Linked DNA regions of Ovis aries. The protein of the gene in region 2 purifies or fractionates together with the protein of the main gene of each other region. This does not show direct contact. Links are inferred from orthologs where the notes say so. Each region holds a gene or a part of one and is shown on either strand. Other genes may lie near its edges.

Evidence for each region.
Region 1: the proteins of CDK6 (region 2) and HSP90AB1 purify together in Homo sapiens (co-immunoprecipitation; 4 studies listed by BioGRID and IntAct, with this or other methods). This does not show direct contact. The link is inferred for Ovis aries from reciprocal best matches to the Homo sapiens genes CDK6 and HSP90AB1.

The regions. Positions count from the first base shown.
Region 1 is NC_056073.1:17,737,631-17,740,962, forward strand, and holds the end of HSP90AB1 (heat shock protein HSP 90-beta), read left to right. Parts: coding exon 1-68; intron 69-419; coding exon 420-585; intron 586-796; coding exon 797-987; intron 988-1,091; coding exon 1,092-1,239; intron 1,240-1,363; coding exon 1,364-1,632; intron 1,633-1,884; coding exon 1,885-2,218; intron 2,219-2,309; coding exon 2,310-2,419; 3' UTR 2,420-2,683; downstream 2,684-3,332. UniProt on the Homo sapiens protein: Molecular chaperone that promotes the maturation, structural maintenance and proper regulation of specific target proteins involved for instance in cell cycle control and signal transduction. Undergoes a functional cycle linked to its ATPase activity.
Region 2 is NC_056057.1:10,942,881-10,946,629, reverse strand, and holds the start of CDK6 (cyclin-dependent kinase 6), read left to right. Parts: upstream 1-1,086; 5' UTR 1,087-1,228; intron 1,229-3,749. UniProt on the Homo sapiens protein: Serine/threonine-protein kinase involved in the control of the cell cycle and differentiation; promotes G1/S transition. Phosphorylates pRB/RB1 and NPM1.

The sequences.
Region 1 (3,332 bases), on a different chromosome or scaffold from region 2:
CCCAGGAGGAATATGGAGAGTTCTACAAGAGTCTTACCAATGACTGGGAAGATCACTTGGCAGTGAAGGTAAGAAGTCTTGCTTGTTGGCTCAGTAGGAGGAGCTGATATGGACAAATGGAACTTACCCAACTGGTTGGTAGCTGGGAACTGTGAATGCTATGAGTTGATTTGCTAATGGACCCTTCCAGGGTGGAGAAGTGACATCTTCCCCTGTGACCTGTCTCTGGTGGCTTTACCCACCTGGAGTCTTTGACCCAAAGATGATATAGTGCTTGCAGTTGGATTCATTTAGGGCATTAGGGCTTAAATTTTCTCTACAGGGATAGGAAGTTTTTGTTTCAAATAATTGGACATTTTGGTATTGGGACCAAAAGCCACTCTTGAGTACACAGTCAGCTTATCTTGGATTTCTTTCAGCACTTCTCTGTAGAAGGTCAGCTGGAATTCAGAGCACTGCTGTTCATCCCCCGTCGGGCTCCTTTTGACCTCTTCGAGAACAAAAAGAAAAAGAACAATATCAAACTGTATGTCCGCCGTGTGTTCATCATGGACAGCTGTGATGAGTTGATTCCGGAATATCTCAGTGAGTATCTTTTTGCCCTAATGTAGTTCGTTTCTGCGTTCTCGGGGGCTGGAGTCTTTATCTTAGATTAAGGATCCTCTGCAACCTAACAAGTGAAAGTTTGGTGAGAAAATCAGTCTTTCTGTTGAATCCAGATGACTTTATATACCTTTTATCTTTATCCCCGCCACTCCTGTATCTTTAAAACCCAGCTTCCATATTTTGATTTCAGACTTCATCCGTGGGGTGGTTGACTCTGAAGACCTTCCCCTGAACATCTCCCGAGAAATGCTCCAGCAGAGCAAAATCTTGAAGGTTATTCGTAAGAACATTGTTAAGAAGTGCCTTGAGCTCTTCTCTGAGCTAGCAGAAGACAAGGAGAACTATAAGAAATTCTATGAGGCATTCTCTAAAAACCTGAAGGTAAGCAGCAAGTACTTGCTTAATAATTAGAATGGATTTTTTTTCATTCACTGAGAGGATAAGTTATTTCCTAACAAAATTATTTTTTTCCCCTACCCATAAAGCTTGGAATCCATGAGGACTCCACTAACCGGCGACGCCTTTCTGAGCTGCTGCGCTATCACACGTCCCAGTCTGGAGATGAGATGACTTCTCTCTCAGAATATGTGTCTCGCATGAAGGAGACCCAGAAGTCCATCTATTACATCACTGGTACGTTGGAACCTAGGTCTGATAAAAGCCTTTTTTTAGAGGTGTGGGGCAGACACTCAAGGGTCCTGGGGAACTGGCAGGATGAGGCATTTTGGCCCTTGAGTCACACTGAGTAATCCTACAGGTGAGAGCAAAGAGCAGGTTGCCAACTCTGCATTTGTGGAGCGCGTGCGGAAGCGGGGCTTTGAGGTGGTGTACATGACGGAGCCCATCGACGAGTACTGTGTACAGCAGCTCAAGGAGTTTGATGGGAAGAGTCTGGTCTCTGTGACCAAGGAGGGCCTGGAGCTGCCTGAGGATGAGGAGGAGAAGAAGAAGATGGAGGAGAGCAAGGCAAAGTTTGAGAACCTCTGCAAACTCATGAAGGAGATCTTGGATAAGAAGGTGGAGAAGGTAAGCCGTTGTGAAGCAAAGTTATCTTGTTAGCGATGCCTTCAGAGTGGTTTCCTCCCATCTTTGGCTGCTACAGTTAGTGGTTTAGGCAGCTTAATTTGCTTAGTGCCACCCTACTTCTTGTTCTCTTAAGGTTGGTATTTCTATAGAACTTACCAAAGATGACACTTTTCCCCAAAGAGTAGAGATGAGCATCTTTGCCTTGAGGAGGTAATTCGATTCAGTACAATGAGCTTTTCTGCCTACCCTCAGGTGACGATCTCCAACAGGCTCGTGTCCTCACCCTGCTGCATTGTGACCAGCACCTACGGCTGGACCGCCAACATGGAGCGCATCATGAAAGCCCAGGCACTGCGGGACAACTCGACCATGGGCTACATGATGGCCAAAAAGCACCTGGAGATCAACCCTGACCACCCCATCGTGGAGACCCTGCGGCAGAAGGCAGAGGCGGACAAGAACGACAAGGCCGTCAAGGACCTGGTGGTGCTACTGTTCGAAACTGCACTGCTCTCCTCTGGCTTCTCGCTTGAGGATCCCCAGACCCACTCCAACCGTATCTACCGCATGATAAAGCTTGGCTTGGGTGAGTACCTTTGTCCTCTCAAGTAGCAAGGTGTGTCAGGCGCTTTTGAAGGCTTTTGGGGGCCTACCTGATGTGGTTTCTTTCCTCTTAGGCATTGATGAAGATGAGGTGACGGCAGAGGAGCCCAGTGCTGCTGTTCCTGATGAGATTCCCCCCCTTGAGGGTGACGAGGACGCCTCTCGCATGGAAGAAGTAGATTAGGAGTTTATACCTGCAGACTGCTCCCTCTGTATAGCGTCCCCATGGCTCCTGCAGCAGCAGCCGCCCTTGTGGCCCTGGCCCATGTGGTTCCCTCTGCTGACGTCTAGTGGTTTTATTTCTGTCCTTCTAAGGCAGGATACATGGGCCTCACGCCCGATTCCTCTCCACGTTTGACATGGGGTTTGAATGTTGTGTGTTGTGTTTTGTTTATTTTGTTCTGAAATTAAAGTATTGAAAATAAAGAAGATGCAGGTTTTTTACACAGTTCTGCTCTCGTAGATTTAAGTATATACAGTGCTGCCTTTGGAGTTATCCTGTATGTATCCCTTTACAAATCTTAGCCTGCCATCATTCTGAGTAGATAACATGGTACATAAAGTGAAAGTCAGTTCAGCCATGTCTGCTCAGTTTTGTCTTGAGTCTTAAGACACCTGTGGACTATACAGTCCATGGAATTCTCAAGGCCAGAATATTGGAGTGGGTAGCCATCCCCTTCTCCAGGGATCTTCCCAACCCAATCCAGGTCTCCTGCATTGCATGCAGATTCTTTTTATCAGCTGAGCCACCAGGGAAGCCCAATTGTGATACATAGGAAGATATTAAAACCATCACGGGTAAGTTTAGAAGCCATAGAAACAAAATGAGAGAGAGTCAAAGAGGGAGAAAATAATTGCACATGAGGCAACAGACGTAAGCTGAATTTCCAAAATAGCTCGTTCAACTCAATCCAATCAAAAAACAGGCAAAGAACTAAATAGACATTTCTCTTAAAACATAGGTGGCCAGTAGATAAAAGAGGTTCAAGATGCTAATTTGAGAAATGAAAAAATGACGTACTACCACACATGGGTCCAAATGGCCATCATTGTAAAGCTGCAGTACCATGCTGGAGAGGGTGCAGAGAAAAGGGAAC
Region 2 (3,749 bases):
AGAAGACTTTTCTTTTCCTCCAAAATCTAATTTTCACCTGAAATATTGAGGTTTTCTCAGCAGGTAAAGTATACATTCTTACAAAGTTTCAAATTTCAGAAGTCCAGTAATGCATTTAAAGTAAGCACCCATCGAATCGTGTTCTCTCTTCTTTGTGTGTGTGTGCGTGTGTCTATTATCTTGCTGTTCTGTTACTTAAAGTCAATTTTAGGCTTTTTACCTCCACAGAAATACCTTAGTGAACCCTCGGCAGTTACTAATCACTTAATAACTGTGAGCCGGCCAGCCCCTTCAAGTAGATCGTTAACCACAAGAGTGCCAGACAATTTCCAAATCATATCCTCCGTCCAAAAGGAAAAGATAGGGCTTTGTGAGGCCGAAAGGAAGCGAAGGAAAACAAAACAAATGTAGCTCATGCTGAAAGTGAAAAGTGCTTGGACAGATTAGTATTTTCTTTTCTGCAAGGCGTCCTGCCAATTTTTTTAAATAAAGTTATTTTTTGATCTGACTTTTCAGTTTCTTGAAAAGTGTTAGTATTTACCATCCCCACCGGCCCCTCATGACTATTATCGGTCGTTTTGTGTTTTCCCCATCTGTCTACATCACTGACTGCTGAAACCCCCCGCCTGCCTCACTCTGTCAAAAACCCCAACTCTGGGCGACCCTCGGTTTGGTAACTCAGCCGACTGCCGACCACACATCCCACTCTCCCTCTCACGCCTCCTATTTTAGTCACCCCACTCCAGTTGCAGCGAAAGCCGGAAATTTTCATTTAGCTCCCCCCTCTTTCTCGCCCCCCACTCGGAGCGGAGAGCCGGGGAGCCGGAGGCTCAGAGCACAGCCGGGGCTCGGCCGCCTCCCCTCTCTCCGGAAGGCTTTAATTTGCACACTCGCTGGCCACTGAGCGGCGAGCCCCCCACCCGGCCGCCGGGAGGGTCGCGGGCCGCCGGCCTCCAGGGCCCCCCACCCCGCCCCCGCCGCCTCCCCGGCTCGGGCCCCGAGCCCGGGCCGGAGCCCCGCGGCCTCCGTCCGCCCCCAGCGCGCCGCGCGGGCGGCGCCCTCCGCCGTCCCTCCGCCCTCCGCCGCAGTGCCCACCCCCTCGCCCGAGCGAGCGCCGCTAACTCCTTCCTCGAGCCGGTTTACCTGCTCCGCGCCGCGGCGGACACGTGCGAAGGTCGACCGGTCCCCGCAGCCCCCTCGCGAGGCCCGCCGCGGCCGGGCCCCTCAGGTGAGGCGCTGTGCGCTCTGGTGGGTGGGCGGCAGGGTGCAGGGTGGGGGGGTGGTCCTTGGGGAAGACTTGGGGGCTTGGCCCGGGGTCGGCGGCTAGGGTGGGTGGGGGTGACTGGGGCGGGGAGGGGGGGCGGTAGGTTCTGGGAATCGGCTTTGGTTAACCCCTTACGATCCGAGGAGGGGTGGTTACAGGGGCCAGTTTCGGGGGAGCTACAGGAGTTTCTCCTAATCTGACTAGAGGGAAACATCCCACACGAGGGACTCCCCCCAACGCCGAGCTCCTGTGCCTGCTCGCACACAGCCTTGCGCACAAACACCCACACAAACACTTCTTATCCAGTCCTTCAAACGGAACTCAGGCTCCACTGGGAAACTCACCGAGAAATTTACATTCAGGGTTTAAAATGCACTGCTTTGGGGAACCTCACGCGGGAGAGAATGTGTTTCGGTGCCTTGTATTTATTTCCCCACGAAAGCTCCCCCTCCATCTCGCCGAGGTGTGGGTGTGAGCTCCACCTTCCCCACCGCGAGATAAATGTTAACGCAGACTTCTTGCTGGCAGCCCCCGCGGGCGTGTTCTGCACTTAAGAGAGGAGTACACGCCGGCGGCCAGTGCCCAGGCTGGAAGTCCCCCCGCAAGGATGGACGCTTGCTTTAGTTTCCTAGTTTACTTTCCTAATTTAAAATATCGTTAAAACGCACGCCCCCGGGGTGAACACCTCCTGGCCCGAGCCCCGCGCCCGTCAGTGTGCACGTGGGCGCATCTGCGTGTGTGTACACGCGGGAGTCGTGGTCCCCCGGGGCGGCCTCTGGTCGCCGCGGTGGTGGCGACCCTTGCGGTGCTTGGCAGGCTTCGGGAGAGGCACATGAAGGATTTCATTGAGTGTGAAGACAGAGAGCAGAGACAGAAAGCAGAAGGAGGCGGCTGCAGCCTTTGTAGTCGCGGAGGAATGCGGAAATGTTGAAGCACTCTGTCAAACTTTTTTGAAATGGGGTCAAGTCACATTCAGCCAGCGTGGGAAAGCAACAACAACAACAAAAAAAGTGGACGGGGCGGGGGACGGGGGGAGGCACGGCTGCTCCCGTTTCTCTCCGCCGGAGCCGACAGTCCGGGGAGCGAGGGGGGAGAGCCGGGGCGGGCGGTGCGGGGCCCGGCGGGGGCGGCGGGCGCAGCTCCCTGCGGGGGTGGGACGTCCCCGCCGCTTCCTTCGCCGCCGGGCGGCGGGCAGGACTGGGGCTGGGAGGGGGCCTGCGGGAGGGGGCGGGCGGCGCCGCTCGCCGCGGCTCCTCCGCTACCTGTGTGGCCCTCGGCCTGGCTCCGACCGCTGGTTCCTTGGCTCAGGGGGCTCGTTCCTCGGCCCCCTTACCCAGGACTGGCCTTCACCTTTTAAGGAGAATTTTGAATGGAGAGAGTGTGAGGGGCCCGGTGCTCTCCGCGGTCCCCTCCGCCCGCAGACCGCAAGGGTCGCGCAGTCTGTATCTTTAATTCCTGGCGGAAGGCGAGCGAGCCAGAGGTTGCGGGGCAGGTAATTCCGAGGAGCTCCGGGGAATTTCGGACAAGCAGTCGGAGCGGCGAATGTCCGGCGGAGGCCACAGCGTTGGTGGAGCAGAGGTCCCCTGGGTCCTGGATTGCAGCTTGAATGGGAAAGAAGAGTGCGACCCCCCCCCCCCTTCGCCGCTTTGTTGTGTGTGTGGGGTGAGCTCCGGGGGTCACTGGCTGCTATTCGGATCCGACCTTAAACTGGAAGGGGAGTGGAGCAACCTCTGCTACCTACTTCGGGAACAACCCTGGGAGTGGGGAAAGGTTCTCGAGTCCTGGCCCCGGGGGCGCAACCCCTTTTCGCTTTCCCCTGGAGGCTCAGCCTTTACTCCCCCCACCCCTCACCCTATTTAAGGGGAAGCTGAGTTTTGCTCAGGTTGCAATCGGTTGAAAAATTCAAGGCAAGTGACGATTATGCCGCTTTGCTTCTGAAGTTGTTCTCCAAGGAGACGACAAGCTGAAGTGCGGCGAGCACCTCTTTATCCCATTCTTAGGGTTCCGTAGGCGACTTCACCCGCCCCCTCGCCCCCGCCGCCACACCGCGGGGGGAGGCATCGCTCACCCACTCCGGAGTAGCGGGAGCTCCCGCCCTCTCGGATCTGATGGGTTTCCACCAGGGAGGTCTTCCCAAGTAAGAGGAAGGATTCCGTTTCCAACCCAGACTCTTTTACCTTAAAAAGACCATTTGTGTGTCGTTTTTAAATGTCTCCTCGTAGAAAAACTGAAAGTAGAAAGAAAGGAAGCAATTTCCGAGCAGATGTCTGACCACCCCTTCTCGCACACTCGCAGCATCGGGTTACAAAGGTCCTGGGAGCCCCCACCCACATTCTGCGGCCGCACTCAGGCGGACCCGAGGTCTGTCCACACCAGGCTGCGCACGACCCCAGAACGCCCCCACGGCACCCATGGAGCCCCTGTCCCCTGACGTCCAGGCCCGGCAGGCAGGGAGCGGAGCAGCGCAACACAATGATACAGGGAA